Linked DNA regions of Sus scrofa. The protein of the gene in region 1 purifies or fractionates together with the protein of each later gene. This does not show direct contact. Links are inferred from orthologs where the notes say so. Each region holds a gene or a part of one and is shown in the gene's direction. Other genes may lie near its edges.

The links. The genes of interacting proteins can lie anywhere in the genome.
Region 2: the proteins of G3BP2 (region 1) and STAU1 purify together in Homo sapiens (affinity purification with mass spectrometry; 3 studies listed by BioGRID and IntAct, with this or other methods). This does not show direct contact. The link is inferred for Sus scrofa from reciprocal best matches to the Homo sapiens genes G3BP2 and STAU1.
Region 3: the proteins of G3BP2 (region 1) and CAPRIN1 purify together in Homo sapiens (affinity purification with mass spectrometry; 5 studies listed by BioGRID and IntAct, with this or other methods). This does not show direct contact. The link is inferred for Sus scrofa from reciprocal best matches to the Homo sapiens genes G3BP2 and CAPRIN1.

What each region holds. Positions count from the first base shown.
Region 1 is NC_010450.4:71,281,420-71,290,113, reverse strand, and holds part of G3BP2 (ras GTPase-activating protein-binding protein 2), read left to right. Parts: intron 1-1,422; coding exon 1,423-1,504; intron 1,505-2,546; coding exon 2,547-2,720; intron 2,721-3,808; coding exon 3,809-3,899; intron 3,900-4,580; coding exon 4,581-4,680; intron 4,681-5,660; coding exon 5,661-5,841; intron 5,842-6,839; coding exon 6,840-6,938; intron 6,939-8,694.
Region 2 is NC_010459.5:50,802,959-50,810,233, reverse strand, and holds the end of STAU1 (double-stranded RNA-binding protein Staufen homolog 1), read left to right. Parts: intron 1-316; coding exon 317-392; intron 393-577; coding exon 578-897; exon of another isoform or gene 898-1,759; coding exon 1,760-1,882; exon of another isoform or gene 1,883-3,168; coding exon 3,169-3,254; intron 3,255-3,804; coding exon of another isoform or gene 3,805-3,820; exon of another isoform or gene 3,821-4,118; coding exon 4,119-4,212; 3' UTR 4,213-5,275; downstream 5,276-7,275. UniProt on the Homo sapiens protein: Binds double-stranded RNA (regardless of the sequence) and tubulin.
Region 3 is NC_010444.4:26,842,926-26,850,985, reverse strand, and holds part of CAPRIN1 (caprin-1), read left to right. Parts: intron 1-1,990; coding exon 1,991-2,128; intron 2,129-3,262; coding exon 3,263-3,315; intron 3,316-3,392; coding exon 3,393-3,479; intron 3,480-4,808; coding exon 4,809-4,964; intron 4,965-5,084; coding exon 5,085-5,193; intron 5,194-8,060. UniProt on the Homo sapiens protein: mRNA-binding protein that acts as a regulator of mRNAs transport, translation and/or stability, and which is involved in neurogenesis, synaptic plasticity in neurons and cell proliferation and migration in multiple cell types.

The sequences.
Region 1 (8,694 bases):
AATCATTGCCACATCATGTGGGAAAGACTCTTAAAAGACCTTATCCTTTTATTTATAGGTTCTCTTTATAACCTTACTGGGCATTCTAAAGTTAGATTTTGCATTATGCCCTCCTCCATTGTTTAACATGTGTGTAATCTCTGTGTTATTCTGGAAGACAATTAAACAAACCCCATCCCCATCCTCCAAAAAATTCAAAGTGAATACCTGTACATTTTTCTAATTATAAAATTAAAGATATTCTTGTTGACAGTGTGTATGAGTTTGAAGGAGAATGGGATTAATAAAGCCTTTCATTATCTGAAATTTTTAGTCTTTACTGTGTATGTATTTGCATGTTCGGTTGTTTTTTAGCAAGAAAAAATAAGGCTTTCCGCCATCATTTCAGGTAACAATACAAACTTCTGTTTTATACTTATTAGCTTATGTAACAGATTTTTTAGTAATGAAAATTTATTTAACACTGGTGAATATCCTTACACATACATGTTTAGGTACCTTTATAGTTGTTTTCTTAGGATAAGTTCCAAAAGTAGAATTAAGTGAAAGATAAGATCATCTCTAAGGCTTTTCTCAAACATTCTTAGACCCAGATTATCCTCCACAAAAATGATAGCTATTTACATGCTTGCCATTAGAACATGAGGGAAAATAGTGTAAACTTAAATATGTGGGTAGTGGTTGAAAGCATGGACTCTGGAGCCAGCTGCACCACCTGATAGATATGTCACTTTGATGAGTTTATTTTTTTTTTTATTTTTTATTTTTTTTGTCTTTTGTCTTTTAGGGCCTCATCCACAGCTTATAGAGGTTCCCAGGCTAGGGGTTGAATGGAGCTGTAGACGCCAGCCTACACCAGAGCCATAGCAACGCAGGATCAGAGCTGTGTCTGCAACCTACACCACAGCTCACGGCAATGCCAGATCCTTAGCCCACTGAGCGAGGCTAGGGATCGAACCTGAATCCTCATGGATGCTAGTTGGGTTCGTTAACTGATGAGCTACAAAGGGAACTCCAGTATTTCAGTTAATTTTAATCTAAACTTTTAACTAAGCCTTTGAATTAGTAATCATTTCAAACTCTTGAGTAGAGTGCTAAACAGTGGCTGATTCCCAGGCAGATCTAGATAACTGAGTTTTTGTATCTGACGGGAAAAAATGGGTAAATTACTACAATGTCAGTATTTAGAATATGTTTTGAACATTTCATTTCTCCACTTATCAAAGTATAGATGTGGTAAGAATTAGATGAGAATAGCTAATGATTGAGTATATACATTTAGCATGCTAGGCACATGAAGAATTCTGCATCATTAGTCATTTAATCTGTACAACCTCATGGAGAAGTTACCTAGAAACTAGGTTTGCTTGACACCAGAACTCTACTGCATCTTAATTTTTTTTTTAATCAATGGTTTTACAGGTTTTATGGTAGGAATTCTTCCTATGTTCATGGTGGAGTAGATGCTAGTGGAAAGCCCCAGGAGGCTGTTTATGGACAAAATGTAAGTATCAATTTCATATACATTTAGATTATTTTATTTTTTGAATTTTAAGATAGAGATTTGGAAAGTAGCCTTCTTGTGCCCATGGATTTTTTTCTTGAATGTGATCAATTAGCTGCACTAGAATTTGTTAGAATTTGTTACAGTAATTGTCCAGTGTGCGTTGAGTTCTTATAAACACCCATTTTGTATGAAGCATAGTATTACATTTGGGTTGGATACAAAGGAGAGTGGGACTTTTTTTATATCCTTGGTGTGTTTTAAGTATGAAACAGTTGAGACACTGTAGAAAGCTTTTTTTTTTTTTTAATGATTTTAACTTTTTCCATTATAGTTGGTTTACAGTGTTCTGTCAATTTCCTACTGAACAGCAAAGTGACCCAGTCAGACACACACACACACATATATATACACATTGCTTTTCTCACATTGTCCTCCATCATGTTCCATCACAAGTGACTAAATATTGTTCCCTGTGCTATACAGCAAGATCTCGTTGCTTATCCACTTCAAATGCAATAGTTTGCATCTGTAAACCCCAGATTCCCATAAAGTTTATGTTAAAGTAATGCACAGTATTATATACACCTTACGATTTTGTAGAGGATGTGGAACTTCAGTGAGACTCTTGAGTCATAGCATTTGAACTTGCCAAGCAAGAGTAAGTTGCAAGTAGAAGAAATGACACCAGCTGACAAGCAGTAATGTAAAATTAGGTATGAGGTCAAGGAGTAGTCCACACAGTTCGTGTGAATGACTGAATACTTAATACAGAACAGTGGGAGAAAGCGGTATAAAGCCTGTAATATGAGACAGGCATTGTGATTTCTTCTATAGAGAGGTGACATGTTGAAACTAGTGGATTTAGGAACTTTGGTCTGGCAGTAATGCATAACATGGTGTAATGGATTCAAATAAGGCAGAGAGGTTCAGTAGTCAATATTCTAGAGTTGTGAGGAAATCAGTGCAAGTTTGTAGTATCGAATGGGTAATGCAGTATCACAAGTTTGTATTTCCTCCCTACTTTCTTTTTCTAATAAAGGATATACACCACAAAGTATTGTCTCTGAACTTCAGTGAATGTCATACTAAAATTCGTCATGTGGATGCTCATGCAACCTTGAGTGATGGAGTAGTTGTCCAGGTCATGGGTTTGCTGTCTAATAGCGGACAGCCAGAGAGGAAGTTTATGCAGACCTTTGTTTTGGCTCCTGAAGTAAGTTTTCACTTCTATTAATTTTTCATTTATGTGATTTTTTTATTTTATTTTATTTTTTTTATTTTTTTATTTTTATTTTTTTGTCCTTTTACGGCCCCACCCTCGGCATATGGAGGTTCCCAGGCTAAGGATCTAATCACAACTGTAGCTACTGGCCTACGACAGAACCACAGCAATGCCAGATCCAAGCCTTGTCTGCGACCTATACCACAGCTCACAGCAACGCTGGATCCTTAACCCACTGAGCAAGGTCAAGGATCAAACCCTCAACCTCGTGGTTCCTAGTCAGATTCGTTTCTTCTGGAGCACAATGGGAAGTCCTCATTTATGTGATTTTATTTTGCTATTAATAGTTTCTTGAAGTGTCCAGAGTTTCTTCTTACAGGCACAGATATGCATGTAGCTATTTTTATTTATTTTTATTTTTTTGTCTTTTGTCTTTTTAGGGCTACACCTATGGAATATGGAGGTTCCCAGGCTAGGGGTTGAATTGGAGCTGTAGCCATCAGCCTATGCCACAGCCACAGCCATGCCAGATCTGATCTGCATCTGAGAGCTGCACCACAGCTCACCGCAATGCTGGATCCTTAACCCACTGATCGAGGCCGGGGATCAAACCTGCGTCCTCAAGGATGCTAGTCGGGTTCATTAACCACTGAGCCATGACGGGAACTCCCTGCATGTAGCTGTTTTTGAGAAATCTGTATTGGATCTGTTGATTACTTTACTTGAGCTTTATGTGTGTGCTTTGATTTCTCAGTAAAAGTGAGGTCCTGATAATAGATGATTAAGACTACAGAGATAATATTAAAAGCATATTATTATATTTAATAGATTACATATTATAAACAAAATGGGAACATCCCATATGTAAATTAGTCCTGGTTCTTTTATGTTTAGTAGACATTTCTTGAGCTTCAGTGTTTTGAGTAATCTACTGTGATTTGCTTTGTATTAACATCATAGCACATTCAACTTTGAAAGATTATTTCTGTACTGTTAAAATAGAAATTGTTTTTATTCTTCTTAATTTAATGCTACATTTATGGGTATTAATGGAATATTTGGATGTTATTTTCCTACAGGGATCTGTTCCAAATAAGTTTTATGTTCACAATGATATGTTTCGTTATGAAGATGAAGTATTTGGTGATTCTGAACCAGAACTTGATGAAGGTGAGGTTACTTTTAAGATACAAGGGTTCTGTCAGTATGGATATTCTTTAAGGACCTGCAAAGTATGAAACAAATAAATTTGCCTCTGTTATAACTGAGGCTAACTCCCTTTTCTCCTTTCCTGTTCCCGATTCTTGTTATAGATATTCATTTTATGAAATTTTTATGATTATAAGTCAGACATAGAAAATGAAAAAAACTTCCTCAATCTCATCTTCTAAAGGCAACCAAGCATTTAGTGCCTATCACAGAATTTGGTTATATCTTACACTGATCATTACTTTTATAAAAGTGGAAGTATGCTAGCTCAAAGCTTGCTTTTTTGTTTTCTTTTCTTTTTTTCCTTTAATATATCTGTATCTTTGTTGGCTGTTGATTTTTTTTAATCCATATTTAATATTTAAGATCAGTTATTTAATTGATCTTCCATTGATACATACCAGTTTGCTTCCTTTTCTTTATTATTATTGCTCCATTGAATAGATGGTGATGAAGGAAACTGAGTTATGACTTTATATATCATTTTTACTACCCTTTTCTTACTAATAGGTGTTTTTAAAAAATAGAGTCAATTCCATGGAGTTCACTATCATATGACATCTTTACACATTTAAAATACACCTATCAAATTGTGTATTAAGCCTCTTAAAAAGAGATGTGGTGTATTTTATATATTGTCAGAATCAGAGGATGAAGTAGAAGAGGAACAAGAAGAAAGGCAACCAACTCCAGAACCTGTGCAGGAAACTAACAGTGGTTACTATGAAGCTCACCCTGTGACGTAAGAATAGTGTTTGCAAGGCCAAATCTGTTCTAAACTATAATGTATTTGCAAGGTGGTTTTTGTACCTGGAATTGTTGGAAGTAAATTTTTGCTGACACTATCAATAACAAGCCAGCATTTGAGTATTTACTGTGTATATGCAAGAAATTTGGAAAATGTTGTTTTATTTAATTCAAAAATTGAACATGTTTTGGTCCAAAACTGATCACTTACTACTAATGTATAGTGTCTGGGACAAAACAGCATTTTATTTTTTTTATTTTTTTTATTTTTTTTGTCTTTTGTCTTTTTGTCTTTTGTCTTTTTTTTGTTGTTGTTGTTGCTATTTCTTGGGCCGCTCCCGCGGCACATGGAGGTTCCCAGGCTAGGGGTTGAATCGGAGCTGTAGCCACCGGCCTACGCCAGAGCCACAGCAACGGGATCCGAGCCGCGTCTGCGACCTACACCACAGCTCACGGCAACGCCGGATCGTTATCCCACTGAGCAAGGGCAGGGACCGAACCCGCAACCTCATGGTTCCTAGTCGGGTTCGTTAACCACTGCGCCACGACGGGAACTCCAGCATTTTATTTTTTAAATATGGGGTTTATTTATAACTAGTGCTAAAGTGATAAACATTTTTAGTAATCCTGTTTTTAAATGGATTTAAAGAAACAGATGTTAAAGAAATGCCACTTGAGGTGTACGTTGGTGACCTAATAGGTTAAGGATCCTGGGGTTGTTCATGCTGTGGCTTCTCTGGTCACTGCTATGGCATGAGTTTGATCCCTGGCCCTGGGGAATTTCTGCACACCATGCCTGCGGCCAGAAAAAAGAAATTCTGTTTGAGAGTATTACTTCCTCTGCCTTCTAGTTTTAAATTTTTGCTTCAGAACAGCTTGTTATTAGTTATGCCTGTTAGAGAAATGCTATATTTTCTTTTATTTGAATGGGTCATTTCACTCATATTGAAAAGTGAATAAAATATTTTATTGTAGTAATGGCATAGAGGAGCCTTTGGAAGAATCCTCTCATGAACCTGAACCTGAGCCAGAATCTGAAACAAAGACTGAAGAGCTGAAACCACAAGTGGAGGAGAAAAACTTAGAAGAATTAGAGGAGAAGTCTACTTCTCCTCCTCCTGCTGAACCTGTGTCTCTGCCACAGGAACCACCAAAGGTTAGATCACAGGAGCTCTTTAGACCTATAGCATCGCACTTTCATCTTTTGTGCCATTAATGAAGCATGACCTTTGTTCTGTGGTGGTAAATTGTTTACTAGTAAACTATTCTTTTTTATGTATATGAAAGAAGCTATGGCTTTTTTTTTTTTAATTCCGAGGAAATTGTATTTTTATCCCCTGAAAAACACCTCTAAGAGTAAAATTTAAGATGAATCCTTGTCTGTATGCAATGTTTAGTATCTTAATTGAAGTTGTTCGAGTCCATGTAAAGCTGAGAGTTGCTCTTCCATTCCGTATTCAGCCCTCTATGCACGGATGCAGTAGGAGTCATGCAATATCCCAACTAAAACAAGTTGGCTTATTATTGAAAGGAGTGATATATGTTATTTCTGGTTTAAATGGGAACAGCTTCCTTACTACACCAATGAAACTCTTGGAAAGATGAGTGACACCCGTAGGGTATTGTTTAAACCTACCTTAAAACCTCTTTTATCTTTCTGTAAAGTAGAAGGTTAAAGTATATTTGGGTAGTGAGAGAAGGAGATTCCTTGTTCAATTTGTGAATGTCTGTTAAAATTTCCAGCTGGTACTCTCTTCTTTCCTATCTATCCTTCCCTTCTCCCCTTAACACCGTCACAACACCCTGTCGTCCCCAGAAGGGGAAGGAAATTAGTTCTAATAGGTTTTTATTTTTCTAGCATATGTAGTTGTTAGTGGTTTTGTTTGAACCTGCTCATCTACTTAGAGCATATAGGAACTTGCTTGTGGATTTATTTAGTAGTTCAGACAAAACAGTCAAATAATTTTCTTGCATAATGAGATTTTGAAAGCTGGCACATAGACTGGCATGTGTGTGTGTGCCTTTCTTTTAGGAGTCCTCCAATATAAAGCAATAGTTTAGAAATGAAAAGAAAATATATATTTGGAAGTTTCCCTATAGGAATGTTGGTGGTTTTCCGTGATTAGTAGTCTAGGTTTGTTGCATTTCCTGCAGGCTTTCTCCTGGGCTTCAGTGACCAGTAAAAACCTGCCTCCTAGTGGTACTGTTTCTTCCTCTGGAATTCCACCCCATGTTAAAGCACCAGTCTCACAGGTAACCAATCTGTGAACACATTGGATTGTATCCTTGTTACATTGCCAATTGCTTATCTTTTTTATACTTTTAAAAATGAGTCAATCAGAAATTATGGATTAAATATACAAAAAAAATGTATTAAATGTCAGTGACACCCACTTTAAACGCCAGATCTCCATTCATCATCTACAGAGGTGGTATTTGGGGTTTGGGTGTGTGAAATACAGATTAAGTTGGCTTTACCAATATATGTGGTCATTTAAAAGGCTTCTTAAAATAACCAAAAAAATATTCTTTTTTAAAAGATTAAAATTTTATTTAGCAAAAATATTTTAGGGAAGAAATTTGGAAAGGCACAAAGTAGTATGGCATTATAAAGTATCATTGTTTTTTTAAAAAAGAGAAAACATCAAAAAAATACACTGCCTGAGCTTTCAGTCTGTAAGTGGTTCATACAGTTTAATTGAAGCCTGTACCAACTTATGACTGTAGTGTTCACCTTTACTGATTGTTCTAGTATTCTGCTTTTTGTCTGTTTGTCATCTTGCCCATTTCAGAGCTTTCAAAAACATTGGAAGTAAGACACTGGCTACCTAGTATGTTTATTGTATATAGTCTACAATTAGCTAAATTCTGAAGTTAATAGGCACACTTAAAGGGTGTCCAGTTCTTTTCCCTGCATTTTCAGTCAAACTTCATTCCACTAGAAAATTTACATTTGAAATGGTTAGTGCACATAAAATTGTCTTTACAACTCTCAATATGCTCTAAATGGTGAAACTTTTGAGATTTTTCAGAAGTAGCTAGTAATTATTCGACTGTCTTCCTGGGTGTTATTACAGATAATCAGCTACAAAATAGAATACTGGCCTTGCCGTACCTGGTTTTGTTTTTTGTATTTTTCTTTGACTAGATAGATATTCAGGAAATATTGAGTAATTACCTCAGATTACAAATCAGAATTCTGTGTTAATGAAGAAAATTAATTTGCCAAGTACTGATTGTCTTTTTCTACCCATCTGAAGATCCAGTAAGTGACTTCTGGATTTTCTTTTGACATGCTTGATTTCCTATTGGATTTGCATTTGGAATCTTGGTACTTGATTTCAGAGAGTTGGCTATGTTTATTTTAAATTAGCTGATAGTCAAAAGTTACAGCAGTTAATTCTTATTAGCACACCTTTAATTTAGTATAGTGCCAGGTATTGTGCAAAGCACTTAATATTTACTCTCATCTCTAATCTTCACAAGCACCCTGTGAGAATGTTTACTATTATTATTCCTTTTTAAGATTAGTAAATAGAGGTCTAGAGTACGTCACCCAAGGTCAGACAGCCATATAAATAAAGTAGTAGGCCTGGGCGTTCAGTTCCTACAGTTGGACACTCATGCAAATCTGTAGGTTTCTTTATAGCCTTTGGGGGGGCGCGGAGTGTATCTCTATTTACATTAGAAAAGAAGAGTGCTATGTCTAAGTTATATTACGTTAGATTCTAGCCTCTCGTCCAGGAAAAAATTTTTTTTTTGTTTTTGTTTTTTTTCCTTTCAATTGTAAGGGACTGAATTGTATTTGCCAACACACCCCTTTATTAAAACAAAAAAAAATTTAACATTTATAATTTAAATCTTAAAAAAACTTTCAGAACTCCTTAAGCTATATTAGAATGGATTCATGATTTTTCCACTTGATTTAATAAACCCTTCAAAATTTTGCTGCTTTGGTGTAGTATCCATTTCCTTAACATGAAATAGATTAATAAACATGTATAGATTA
Region 2 (7,275 bases), on another chromosome or scaffold:
AACGAATCTGACTAGAACCCTGAGGAAGCAGGTTCAATCCCTGGCCTCGCTCAGTGGGTTAAGGATCTGGCGTTGTCATGAGCTGTGGTGTAGGCTGGCAGCTGTAGCTCTGATTCAACCCCTAGCCTGGAAACTTCCATACTCCGTGGGTGCGGCCCTAAAAAGCAAAAAAAAAAAAAAAAAAAAAAAAAAAAAAGGTTTAAAAACCAGCATTACTGCTGGTTGGAATTTGTGTCATTTTGGACAGCAGGAGCTAATCACTAATTTTTCAACAGTTTGATTTTTTGTCATTGCCTTTCTTCTTCTTCTTTTAAAGACACCCATAAAGAAACCAGGGGATGGAAGAAAAGTAACCTTTTTTGAACCTGGCTCTGGGGATGAAAACGGGACTAGTAAGTGTGATGTTAACCTGTCTTGACCTGAGTGTGATCCTGGGCTTCACGTGGTTCCCAGTAAACGAGCATCCGTCTTGGGCCTGCATGAGCCCTGTGCCGAGAGGGCCGGTGTGGGATTGTACATCTTTCCAGACAGCACATGTGGACTTGTGTTGATTTGTCGTGTGTCCCTCCCTCTCCAGGCAATAAAGAGGACGAGTTTAGGATGCCTTATCTTAGTCATCAGCAGCTGCCTGCTGGAATTCTTCCCATGGTGCCTGAGGTTGCCCAGGCCGTAGGGGTCAGTCAAGGACATCACACCAAAGACTTCACAAGGGTGGCTCCAAATCCTGCCAAGGCCACGGTAACTGCCATGATAGCCCGTGAATTGTTGTATGGGGGCACCTCGCCTACAGCCGAGACCATTTTAAAGAATAACATCTCTTCAGGCCACGTACCCCATGGACCCCTCACGAGACCGTCCGAGCAGCTGGACTATCTCTCCAGAGTCCAGGGATTCCAGGTAACTGTGAGGCCTGAGTTGTGTCCTGTACCTCAGTGCAGTCATCTCTGCTTCCTCGCAGATCTGAGTACCTCGTTTGTGGTTTTGTTGTTGTTGTTAGGGCCGCACCCACGGCATTTGGAAGTTCCTAGGCTAGGAGTCAAATTGGATCTACATCTGTCGGCCTACACCACAGTGACAGCAAGGTGGGATCCAAGCCGCATCTGTGACCCACACCACAGCTCACGGCAATGCAGGATCCTTAACCCACTGAGCAAGGCCAGGGATCGAATCCACAACCTCGTGGATGTTAGTCGGGTTTCTTTCCTCTGAGTCACGATGGGAACTCCACCGCCTTTTTTTTTTTTTTTTTAAATCAAAATCTTTGTCCAGGGGGATGGTTGGGGACGGTTGGTCAAGGGTGGTCCTGAGGTCAGGGAGGGGGGTGGTGCTGCTGTGGAAGGTAGTGGAAGCCTGGATGGTAAGAGAATCCTCAACCTTTGGTAGTAACATTTTAACAATCCAGACCAACCATATTAACAAAGCCTCTAATTCGGTGGTAGTTACACATTTAGACTTCAGTGAGCACAGACTCCTTGTGCTGGCCCTTTCTGCCTGGTAGGAAGGACATGGCTTCTTCCAGAGGAAGGTTTTTAAGTAGAATCTAGGTTCCTAGAAGATTCTGCAAACTGGGGCCCTGGTAACCTGCCTTCAGCCCAGGTGCCTCTTGGCCCCTCCGACAGTCTCTAGTGCCTGTTGAGCCGGAGTTGGTGTAGCCAGGTCACTCCAGGGAGAGAGGAGTCTTGTCTGCTGGGCCCAGAGCCGAGGCCCTGTCCCGTTCCCCGCTTCCCTAGCCTTGCCTTGGTTTTCTTTTCCCCTTTAGGTTGAATACAAAGACTTCCCCAAAAACAACAAGAACGAATTTGTATCTCTTATCAACTGCTCCTCTCAGCCGCCCCTGATCAGCCATGGTATTGGAAAGGATGTGGAGTCCTGCCACGACATGGTACGTTTCCCGCACGGTGCGCTGGCTCAGGCAAGGCCCTCTTCTAGACTCTGACAGTGGCTGGTCTCACAGATTCCTTACGTCGGAAGCCTTTTTTCTTCGGTTACTGCCTTAACTTCTCACTCTTTATCAGAACTCTCCTCCCTTCCCTTGCTGACCTGGCAGGGAGACTTGGATCCTGGACCCTCTCCAGATGCTGTATTCAGTTCATTTCTTATTGAAACAAGGAGTAGCAGGGCCAAGTGTTGGCACCTTAAAAAGCCCCTTGTTTTGGTGTTCTGTTCAGATGAAATTATTGTTGTAAGAAATATTACAAACCAAGGAAAGGAACTGATTAATTTACACAGACTGGCATATTCACCTGGTGGAGTATAATGCATCCATCACATTAATGTCACTGAAAGTAATGCATTCTAACAAGGAACCATGGTAGGCTTTTTTATTTTTTTAAATTTATTCTTTGACCACGTCCATGGCATGTAGAAATGCCTGGGCCAGGGATAGAACCCCATCACGGCAGTGACCCAAGTCACTGCACTGACAGTGCCAGATCCTTAACCTGCTGAGCTGCAAGGGAACTCTATGATAGACTGTAATTTAATTTTTGTCTTTTGTCTTTTTAGGGCCGCACCCACAGCTATGGAGGTTCCCAGGCTAGGGGTCTAATTGGAGCTACAGCTGCTGGCCTGCAGCATGGCCAGATCTGAGCCATGTCTGTGACCTACACCACAGCTCCCAGCAACTCTGGATCCTTAACCCACTGAGCAAGGCCAGGGATTGAATCCAAAACCTCATGGTTCCTAGTCGGACTCGTTTCTGCTGTGCCATGACAGGAATTCCACAACCTCTGTTATTTTATAGCAGGATATGAACTTTGTACAGGCTGGTGACCACAAGATTAAAAATACTAGAAGGCAGTACGTATACAACTAAGAGGTTGTGGTTCAGTGAGATAACCATGCGCAACTTTTTCTTTTTGGCCACACCCGTGGCGTGTTGAAGTTCCCAGGCCAGGGGCTGAACCTGAGCCACAGCTGTTCTCTGCACAGTTCTCTCCACTGCGCAGAGAGAACACCAGATCCTTAACCCGCTGCACCAGTGGCTCCTGGATAATTTTTTTTTTTTTTTTACATTTTTGGTTAAGAAGTTAAACATGAGAAAGTGTTATTTAGTGAGAACACCAGTTTTGTGGGGCAGTAGGAGAATCCTTCGCCTCCTCATTCAGCATCTTTTGACCGTGGTCCTGAACAGTGCCGTGTTTTAACTTTTCTCTCCATTCCTGCTAGGCTGCACTGAACATTTTAAAGTTGCTGTCTGAGTTGGACCAACAAAATACAGAGATGCCAAGAACAGGAAATGGACCAATGTCTGTGTGAGTCAGCCGATTATATGAAAAGCAGTTCTGTTCCTCCTTTGCATTAAATTCAAATCGTGTGCTCACTGGTGAAACACTCATCTCAGTCACTCTGTCATTCCTCTGAAAGCCTTCCTTAAGCAGAGAGCTCTTTTTCTCCAATTTTGAGTAACATTCGCATGGCTCAGATTTATTTTAAAAAGGTGTACCCAGTGCTAAATCTTGCCCTCATGCAGTCCTCATCTATATCATTCTCTCCACCCAGAGATAACATTTTTATTGTTTCTTGTGTTCCCTTCCCATGTTTCTTTGTGCAAATATATTTCTTTCCTTATCTTCTCCCCCCCCCCGAGATAATGTCCGATAGACATATTATGTAAACACGCACACACTCACTCTCTTCTTTGCTATTTCCACTTGTAGTGTATTGGGGAAAACTTTAATCCAGTTATCATAAACTGGGGCCTGGGCTATTAGACTTGTGTCTGCTAATTTTATTTTTAATATGGCTTACTTTTCTTAAATTTCAAAACTTGGGTCATTTCTATTTTTTTCCTTTTCCTTAAAGGTGTGGGAGGTGCTGAACCTTATGGCCACATGAACCGTTGAAAAATCCCAACATATATACTGAAAATATTGAAACTGCTTTGAAAATTTGGAATTTCTGATACCTCCAGTGGGCCGAGAGACATGATGGTTAAAGGACTGGAGACAGCAGTGGTGACCAAGGCGGCAACAGGAGTAGCTGCTGCTGGGGGCGGGGCGGGGCGGGCCTGCCAGGCAGCCCTGGCGCCACTGGGAAACCAGCAGGTCCGTACCCCAGGCACCTCAGTGCTTGGTTTTAGTAGTTTTTTTTGGTTTTGGGGTTCTTTTTTTTCCTTGCTGTGTGAAAGAAGCAGAAAGCACGACTCCTCAACTGGCTCACTCAAACACTTTGGGACAAATCCTGGACACCCACACTGGAGCGAGGCCTTAGTCTGAAAGCACCAGAGAAAATCAGATGCTTCCTCCTCAGCGCAAGTTGACCTTCTTGGCGTGCTCTGGCCCACCACCTCCCGCGGTACCCACACCGTTGCCACTGCTCTCTTCCAAAAGAGATATGTATTCTTAGTTTCATTACTTTCTTTTGATTGAAATGACACTATATAAATTTTCATTTGAGAGTTTCTCAATTGTATCTAGTTACATAGCACAGTTTAGAAACTTGTCTGAGACTGACTTTATCAGTAACATAACCGGCAAAGATCATATCCATGTGTATGTGGTTATACGTTTTTACTTCATTGGACCTGCCCAGGACCATTTCAGTGATGCAAATTGTGTGGCCTCTGGTTTAGCTGAAACAGTCCTGGACTTCTCAGAACCCTTGGTGAAGTCTCCCACAGTTGTATAAATTGAACAGTTTAGGAATTTTAAACTTTAAACGATCATCTGGTTCCTTTTCTATTTTATTTTTGTTTATGCAGCAGGACAAACAAATGAACTCTGATCTTTGTTTCAAAGACTATTAAAAATTGTGTGTATGTACATGACTCTTGAGGACACAGAGCTTTCACTACACTACAGGATATGATCTCATGTAGCACATATACAACTGCAGATTGATCTTCCTTGAGTGCTTTACACTGTTGATTACATCTCCATGTAGGGCTGAAAAGAATGACCCATGTTTATCTCTAACTGTGTTGCTTTGGATGTTGTGTTGCTGTGCACAGACACGTGTGCAGCGAGGTCCTGCATATGGTCCAGATGAAGAGCACGGTAGCCTTGCGAGTTAAGTACTGCTTCCATTTTTTCTCCCCATGGAATGTAAGTAAAACTTAAGTGTTTGTCACCAATAAATGGTAATACTAAATTTTTTTTGTTAATTTATTCTCCAATGCCACTACTGCCAGGTTGGTCCCTCCCAACCTGTCCCCTTTTGTTATTTTTAAGAAAAAACTTTGTAATGCTTGTGATTCCATTTGGGCAAAACTCTGAAGCTCTGAAATAACTTTATATCAAACCATTGATCAATAAACAGCTACTAATGAATTTCAGTCCTGTTGAGCAGTAACTAACGCAGTAAGGGAAGATGTGAGTGAGGGCACGGAAGCATGGTGTGGGGGGCACCGCTGCCAGGGAGAGACGTGTGGGCACCAAGGTGAAGGGAGGCGCCTCTCCTGTGCACCTGACATTGTCACCTGAAGAAATGACCAATAGGAGGAGAGGGGCTTCCCGGTCACTTCCTCAGACGCCTTCGCTGTCAGAGTAAAGGTGCAGTATTTCCTTCTGGCCAGGCTGTGGAGTGAGCTAGTGGCTGTGTTTTAATTTTAGAAGATGCTCATTAAGGTGGTCCATTTTATAAAACCAGCCTACAAACTGGACTGCGAGAATAACTGGAAGTGATCAGAAGGTTATGGAAAATGCTGAAGCGGTAGAAGGGGACACAACTTGGCAGGGGCGAAAGCAGTGAAAGGAAATTAGAGATGTTCCCTTTCCAGTCCTGGATTCAGCATTTCTCCAAGGAGCCCTGATGCTCTTTAGTGACAGATCACGTTTAGAAACCAAGATCTGAGAGCCACCGCCTCTGGGGTGTTGTTAGGAAATGCATCTGTGTATGTCTCTTGACTTGTTTCTCTATGTAAAGCCATGCCTTTGAACTGATACCTCTGGCACTCAGGTTCTTCACAGCCTTCGCTCTGTGTCTTTAGCACCTTCTCCAATATGGAGGTCATAGCCCATCCCCCAGCCGTGCCAGCCACTTCCTCCACTTTAACACCTGCCCCTCCTGCCCCAATCCAGTCTCCCCTCCTTGCCTCAGAGTGTGTCCAGCCAGTGACGCTCCACACTGGAGGGAAGATGGGAAGGGCAGGACAGTACAGTCTTAGAAGTAATCACAGCTTCTAGCTGGCGGTTTCTTGTTGGCCCTCAACTGACAGCACTCCAGAAAGGGAGAATTTAGTGTCTGTGATATTAAGAAGGATCTCCAGGTTTCTTTGACAAAGGTTTTTGGAAGGTGATCCATCTCTGGTTGCTTTGCAGAAATGTCCGGATGGGCTTGTCCTTGCATGCTCCTTCCCTGTAAACTCAAACCAGCCTTGCCTCTGGGAAGGCCGTGTTGCTGCCATCGCCTGCTGAGGACTCACTCAACCTGCAGTAGCTCTGTCTCTGGGGGTTTTGAGAGAACTGAGAATTGAGTGATTGCACTAAGTTTTATCCCCACATGATCTCTAAGAGTTGCAAGAACTTTGACTCAGAACTGAACTAGATACTTCAGCCCATGGGACAATAGAGGCTTGTCCTGGTTCTAGACGACAGGCAGAAAAAGGCAGTGAGACACCTGATGAGGCAGGTGTGAGATATTGCACGTCAGCCACAATCAGAATGAAACAGACTGGTGGGCCTCTGGATGTGTGGATCCTTGGTCCTCAGAGATGAAGCCGCTTGCTCCTGGGTTCTTAGAGTAGACAGACTTGGGACTTGATTGTCCCAACAGCTGCACTGACATTAGGTCATGATTTTGTAAAAGTTCCTCTTATCACAGGGAGATTTTAATGAGTAAAGATGATTTCCCCATAGCTGGATTTTGTTTTGGTTTATTGTTTTTAAAGGATTTCTTGAGCCAGAAGAATGTGGACTGTAGCTCTTGGGAAAGTGTCATTTCTGAGTCTAGGTTTCCTTCCACAGCCCACTGAGCTAATGTGTGTGTGGCTTTGCAGCAGCGTTGGCCCGGATCCCAAGGTCTGTTCGAGATTGAAGGGAGTCTGGGATTGGTGTGAGCATTGGGAAGAGAAGCCTGGCCCTTGCCAAAAATCAGTAAACTGCCCCTGCTGCTGCTCTGGAGGCTCATGTGAGCTCAGGGCAACATGACCACCAGGAAACTTAAGCTAGGAAACCTCCATCACTAGCATCTCTGATTTAAGTGCCTAATGTCTGTGTGCCCTTAGAAAACAAGTTAATGGATTTGTCAAGCACCTAAGCATTGCTGGATTGGCAGGGAGGATTTAGCCAATTTTCTTAAAATAGGCTTAAGAGGCAAAGCTAACGAAGACAGGAG
Region 3 (8,060 bases), on another chromosome or scaffold:
AATCATTTTCTTGTTTGTTAACTTGTGTTTATATTTCTTTGTAAAAAAAACTTTGGCTTCTTGATTTTAGTTCTGCCACAAATATGTATTGATTTTACCACTTGAAGTTTGGAAAGTGATTGTCATGTATGTAAACTTGTTAGCTTCAAAAAGTAGTTTTAGGTCAAGCCTCATCAAATTTTCATGAGCATTATTGAGGAATAACAAGGATTAAAGTCCAAGCTTTAAGTCTACTTTGGTATTATTTTCTACCTAGTGTTGTTCCTGCATCTTAGGGATGTAACATCTTTATCTGTAGTTAATGCAAGATACAGTTTACTCAAATTAGTATTTTTATGTGCATTCAATTTTCATACACTTTTTAAATTAAAAAAATTTTTTCCTTGTTTTTTTGGCTGTGCTCCTGGTTTTTGGTTTTTTTTGATAGTTTTATTTTTAATAGGATTAATTTGATAATACTTTGATGTAATGTTGTCCCCGAACATTTTTCTCTGTAGTGATCCATTAGGAAATAGCCTTACTCTACATCTACTCTACCAGGCCAGGAAATTGAGAGTAATTGACAGATACCTTCCTCCACTGCTCTCATGTGCCCTTTATGTCTTCGTGTACCAAATTCTGACAGTTTTATTTGCCTTTAAGATATTTTTATTTTTTTTAATTTTTAAAATTTATTTATTTTTTTGCCTTTTCTAGTGCCACTTCCCACTGCATATGGAGGTTCCCAGGATAGGGGTCTAATCGGAACCGTAGCCACTGGCCTATGCCAAAGCCACAGATCTGAGATGCATCTGTAACCTACACCACAGTTCACAGCAATGCCAGATCCTTAACCCACTGAGCAAGGCCAGGGATCGAACCTGCAACCTCATGGTTCCTAGTCGGATTCGTTAACCACTGCGCCACGACACGAACTCGTAAAATATCTTTTGAATCTACTTCTCTTTCTCTACTTTTCTGCCTTTCTTGTCTATGCAGTCTCTTAAATAAATCTACCACCACCCATCCCTCGTTAAAGTCTTTTAGTGATTTTATTTTAATCACATCTGTTAGGCGTTTATCCTTGACTTTGAAGACTTTGCATGTTCTGGCCCATATGAGTCTCTTCAGACTCATTTTTCCTTATGCTTTTTCTTACTCTCTAGGTGTCAGCTTGAATGCATACTTTAATTTTCATACATTTGGCATCCTTCTTTGTACAGGCCTTTGTAAATGATGTTGCTTTTGCCTTGAAGCACTTCTTTCCTTTCTTCTACTGATCTTCCAGATCTCAGCTCTTGCAGTACTTAACACCAAGAAAGCCTATCATGGTCTTTCCCTAACTAGGTCCAATCCATTATACTTCTGTGTAGTACTTTTCATAGATGTAACTTTACTGTTTTTGTGTTTGATAACTCTTCTCAGTTGGACTGTAAGCTTAGGGAGGGTAGATACTGTATCTTTTACTTAGCTTTCTGTAGCTCCAGTGCCTAGTATATTGCCTAACACATAGTTAGGTGCTAAATAAGTGTTTATTGAATGAATAAATGGTAATTGTTAGCTCTTTTTGAACTAACTTATTTAAGATACTTAAAGTTTATTACAAATAGGGAGTTCCCTTTGAGGTGCAGTGGAAACGAAGCTGACTGGGAACTATGAGGTTGCGGGTTTGATCCCTGGCCTCGCCTAGTCAGTTAAGGATCTGGCGTTGCCATGAGCTGTGGTGTAGGCTGACAGCTGTAGCTCCTATTAGACCCCTAACCTGGGAACCTTCATATGCTGTGGGTGCAGCCCTAAAAAGCAAAAAAAAAAAAAAAAAAAAAGAAGAAGAATATTACAAATAGTTTTTTGGCTCCTATCATTCTGTTATAAGTATCTGTTGGAATTTAATGTTTTTAGGTGGTGATGAGGGTTTCCCCCCCACCACCACAGTATTTTGTAGAATGTTGAATCTTATTCAAGTCAGGCATCCTTAGATAGTCCAAGATTATAATTCATATTCTGTTTTTAGATAAAGCTCTAAAGGAAATTGTTGAGCGTGTTTTCCAGTCAAACTACTTTGACAGCACCCACAACCACCAGAATGGGCTCTGTGAGGAAGAAGAGGCAGCCTCAGCACCGACGGTTGAAGACCAGGTAGCTGAAGCTGGTGAGTACTCAGATGGATGTGAGCTTTAGTTTAGGGTCCTGTTTTTATTTTCCTTTACTACAAGTTCAAGCTGTACATTTCTTTAGTTGTGTATGTACACTTAGATTTTTAAAGAAACTTTAAGCATGATCACTTATTAAGATAAAGCAAATTAAGAGTAATTCCCTGAGGTATTAAATATCAGTTGTTTATCTTACTGATCTTGATCACAATTACAAACTGATGTTTTCTCTTGCTGCAGTATTGCTGGGTTGGAGTATGGATGAGAGGCAACTGTTATAAGGCTTTTCAAATAGATTTTTGACTGATGTGCCTAGATTTATTGCCGTTTACCATGCCAGTATATGACATGAATGGTGTGAGGTTTTGTTCTTTTTTTTTTTTTTTAATGATGGAGGATTATAATTCCATGATCTTGAACTATAAATTCCTCAGTTGCCAGAGTTCTGTTCTAGCACCCAGCACATCACTAATATGTAGGTAAGCACTTATTATGAGTATTTCTATGATAACTTAAGTTGCTGAGTAAAATTTTGAGTACTATTGAAATTATTGGTGGGGTATACATTTTGTAATGGGTTAAAAGCATGGATTCTAGAATCAGACTGCCTGGATAAAATCTTGGCTACAACACTTTGTGTAACTTTGGGCGAGTTACCAAACTTCTCCATACCTTAGGTTCTCCACTTAGGAAGTTATATGTAATACATGTATATGGTGCCTGGCACATGGTAAGGCATGGTAGTAGTGTTAGCTATTAGGTTGAAACTAGAAGAGAAGATTGCACATTGATGGAATTTATGGTGGCAGAGCAACATAGGACAGTTGTTGTCCCCCCACCCCTTATCACTTTCATTTTACCAAGTAGATTAAAATGGAGAATTGGATGCTGTTTTATTGGCATTTATACTTGATCTGGAATAACTCCTATTAAAATAAAGTAATTTATTTTGGAATAAATGGAAAACTTTCTAAATATATTGTAAGAATAATAAAATATAGAAATTGACTGTTGACTATAACTAAATAAATTCAAACTGTGATGGTGAATTGTTTTGGAGATTGAATTAATTGTTAACTTTAAGAAAAGATAACTCACACTGTTTTGTCTCGTTTTTTTTTTTAACCTCTTAGAACCTGAGCCAGCAGAAGAATACACTGAACAAAGTGAAGTCGAATCAACAGAGGTATGATTTTTATTTAATGCTGTCTTTTCCTTTCTGCCTTTCAAACAGAGGTCTCAAATATTTATTTTGTTTTGCAGTATGTAAATAGACAATTTATGGCAGAAACACAGTTCAGCAGTGGTGAAAAGGAGCAGGTAGATGAGTGGACAGTCGAAACAGTTGAGGTAAGAGTTCTCTGTTACAAGGTTGATGTCTTTTGTCTTTAATAGTAATTTTTATTTCCTAATTAACAGATTTAGATTAAGTATTTTGTATTGTTAGTACATTTATTATAATAACAAACTCAGATTGTTCTGTTTCAAAGATGGTTTGCTTATTATCTCTGTGGATATTTAATATAATCACTGCTTTGCTGATCCAGTTATATGAAGTTATACAGATATTGGAGTTCTTGTTGTGGCTCAGTGAAAACGAATCTGACTAGTATCCATGAGGACGCAGGTTCAATCCCTGGCCTTGCTCAGTGGGTTAAGGATCCTGTGTTGCCTCAGATCTTGCATTGTTGTTGCTGTGGCTGTGGTGTAGGCCAGGAGCTATAGCTCCGTTTTGACCCTTAGCCTGGGGACTTCCATATGCCGCGAGTGTGGCTCTAAAGAGACAAAAAAAAAAAAAAAAAAAAAAAAAAGGAAATTATACAAATATCTGTGTGTAATTTAGGGGGTTAATCTGTCTATCAAAGTATATGATTTTTTATCAGGTTGCTCTATAAAAATCTGAGTTTCCACTTGGATAGCCTTCAGAAAGACCTACCTTACAGAGTGATACATTGGAGTGTCATTTTAGATTCCTCCTCCATCCTAGTGCTGTTGATTACCAGTCTCTGTTATCTCAGTATTGCTTATAAAGGAGATAAGGTTATGTCTTGCCCAGGCTCAACTGGTATGACTTGCTCAGGCTTAAAAGCCAGAAAAGGAATATAAATTTGAGGCAATTAAAAATTAGTGCGATTTCTCAGCAGAGCAGGGAGTTATTAAAAACAATAATCAGGAGAAATTATTAGAACTAGGAAAATGATAGGTGGAATGAGCTTTGGCTTTTGTGGCAGTCTAGATGAAATGATTGAGCTTGATGCTGTGGTATCTGCAGAGAGAATGAAATGATGGGAGCTCAAGCTTCATGATAATAATAGTCAACATTTCTTGAATGTTCAGCATATGTCAGGTAGTGGAATAGATTTATGTTTGATATAGATATGTAGCCTTACTTAATGTAAAGGCTTAACAGTTTTAAGTAAAATCCATGATTTTAGGAAGTAAGCACAGATAGTTTGTTGAAAGCAGTTTACGGGGTAAATCTGAAAGTCTACATGGTGACCCTGTGGAATTGGGAACATTGTAGAAGTGGCATTGATCAGAACATTAAAGTTAGCATCATTTGGTCAGGTTGACTGCATTTGAGTCTGCTATTCTGTTTACACTATAGATGGCCTATGTAATTTGGGGACTGGTCATGATGACGGACCTCTGTCACTGTTCCAATCCATTCCCCTTTAGGTGGTAAATTCACTCCAGCAGCAACCTCAGGCTGCATCTCCTTCAGTACCAGAGCCTCACTCTTTGACTCCAGTGGCTCAAGCAGATCCTCTCGTGAGAAGACAACGAGTACAGGACCTTATGGCGCAAATGCAGGGGCCCTATAATTTCATACAGGTAGGTGTGGTTTAGTCAAACACTATAACAGAAGGTTTAAGCGTTTACATTTTTAGTCAAACACTATAACAGAAGGTTTAAGCGTTTACATATTTAATTCCATTGTATCCTAACTTGTAGGATTCAATGTTGGATTTTGAAAACCAGACACTTGATCCTGCCATTGTATCTGCACAGCCTATGAATCCAGCCCAAAATATGGACATACCCCAACTGGTTTGCCCTCCAGGTTAGTAATGATACTTTTTGTTTGTTTGTTTTTTGGTCACACACTCAGCATATGGAAGTTAGCCACCAGGGATGGAATCTGAGCCATAGCTGTGACCTATACTGCAGCTGTGCAGTGCTGGTTTCTTAACCCACTGCCGCTGGGCTGGGGATCAAACCCACACCTCCACAGTGACCCAAGCTGCTGCAGTCTGATCCTTAACTTATTGCACCGTAGCAGGAACTCTAGTGATGGTACATTTTCATTTGAGAAATAAAGGATAAAGCCAAAGCTTTCAGGTTTTTGTGAACTTTGTGAAAATTAATTTTTTTCTCTTTAATGCTTGCTTAATATTTAGATCTTGTATCTTTTAATTTTATAGGAAATATTACTTTTTTTTCTGTAATATGAACACTAAATGTAGTTCCATCATGTTAACTTTACTGGCAAATAGACATACATAAAAGTACATGCAGGAGTTTACACTGTGGCACAATGGTATTGGTGGTGTCTTGGGAGTACTGGGATGCAGGCTCAATCCCTGGCCCAGCATAGTGGGTTAAAGATCCGGCATTGCCATAGCTGCAGCTTAGGTTGCAACTTTGGCTTGAATCTGATCCTTGGCCTGGGAACTCTATATGCTGCAGGGTGGCCACAAAAAAAAAAAAGTACATGCAGATTTACAATTCGGTGAGTTTTCACAAACTTGAACACACCAGCACCCAGGAAGTGGAACATTATCAGTACCCCAGAAGCCTACTTGTCCTCCCTCTCTCTTTGCCCCTTATTTTTTTTTTTTTTTTTTTGTCTTTTTGCTATTTCTTGGGCTGCTCCCGCAGCATATGGAGGTTCCCAGGCTAGGGGTTGAATCGGAGCTGTAGCCACCGGCCTACGCCAGAGCCATAGCAACACAGGATCCAAGCCGCATCTGCAACCCCTTGCTCACGGCAACGCCGGATCGTTAACCCACTGAGCAAGGGCAGGGACCGAACCCGCAACCTCATGGTTCCTAGTCAGATTCGTTAACCACTGCGCCACGATGGGAACTCCTCTTTGCCCCTTATTAACCACTTCCTGACTTACAGAACTATGGACCTGTTTTTCCTATTTCAAAATTAATCTAGGAATAAAAATAAGTGTCTTTTTTGAAGGATGATTGCAGCTTTTTAGAATTTCTGAACATTTTATTACTTAAATAAAAATATGAGATGCAGTAGCGAAGTGATTTAGGGAATGCTTAAGAGGAAAGGAGAAAAGATAGACTGAAGACAGCTGAAGTTTCAAACTACTGTTTTTACACCAGTTTTTGAAACATCAACATACTAAATAGGGTAGGTGCGTGGTGTTGTGTTCAGTGGAGCATCTCTTTTGAGTTTAGTAATTTTGAGTTTTGTTTTTTCCTAGAACAGGCCAGCATTAAGGACATAAAAGTGGAACCATATAAAGTAGCACATTTAATATTGTTAATCTTAAATGTCATGAAAGGAGTTGCTGGTAAAAACATGTTTAATGAACACAATTAATATGGTAACGTAGTTAGGATTTCTCTACTTTAGAGAAATGGAGCTTATATCTCTCCACCAAGAGTTAGAAAACAGGAGTTCCCGTCGTGGCGCAGTGGTTAACGAATCCGACTAGGAACCATGAAGTTGCGGGTTCGGTCCCTGCCCTTGCTCAGTGGGTTAATGATCCGGCGTTGCCGTGAGCTGTGGTGTAGGTTGCAGACGTGGCTCGGATCCCGCGTTGCTGTGTCTCTGGCGTAGGCCGGTGGCTACAGCTCCGATTCGACCCCTAGCCTGGGACCCTCCATATGCCGCAGGAGCGGCCCAAGAAATAGCAACAACAACAACAACAACAAAAAGACAGAAAGACAAAAAAAAAAAAAAAAAGTTAGAAAACAGAGCCAGGGAATCAGAGTTACTAGTGTTCACTTTTTGAGCTCTATCAGAGGGAGAAAACAAATAGTTTTAGCTGTGCCAGTCCACAAATGCAGCACTTACATAACCTGTAAAGCTATTTAGATATTCCGGTAATGCTGAGTTCATTAGACACTCCAATGAAAATAACTGTTTCCAAATGACTAACCAAAGATACTATATGTTTTTTTCTTTTTTTTTTAAGATACTTTTTTTTTTTTTTTTTTTTTTTTTGGTCTCTTTAGGGCGGCATACAGAGGTTCCCAGGCTTGGGGTCCAATTGGAACTGTAGCCGCCAGCCTGTGCCACAGCTACAGCAACACCAAATCCGAGCGGAGTCTGTGACCTACACCACAGCTCATGGCAACACCGGATCCTTAACCCAGTGAGCGAGGCCATGGATTGAACCCACGTCCTCATGGATGCTAGTCAGGTTCATTAACCACTGAACTGTGAACTCCTAAGATACTTTGTTTTAATTATCTGTCTAAAAGTGATTTGGGAAGGGATTGAAAGGATGATGGGAGCTGGCAATAATATGTATACTAAATTGTATGTAGGCTTTTAAAGGTGTGTTTTTATTTATTTATTCCTTGTGGAAACATTAGAATTTTTTTCCCCCCCTTTTTGGCCACGTGTTCAGCATGCGGAAGTTCCTGACCAGGGATCAAATCTGTGCCACAGTAGTGACAAGGCAGGCCACTAGGGAAGTCCTGGAAAAATTTGAAACTGTATTGAAAGTTAATAATGTTAAAATGTCACTAGATGGAGTTCCTGTCGTGGCGCAGTGGTTAACGAATCCGACTAGGAACCATGAGGTTGCGGGTTTGATCCCTGCCCTTGCTCAGTGGGTTAACGATCCAGTGTTGCCGTGAGCTGTGGTGTAGGTTGCAGACGCGGCTCGGATCCCGCGTTGCTGTGGCTCTGGCGTAGGCCAGTGGCTACAGCTCCGATTCGACCCCTAGCCTGGGA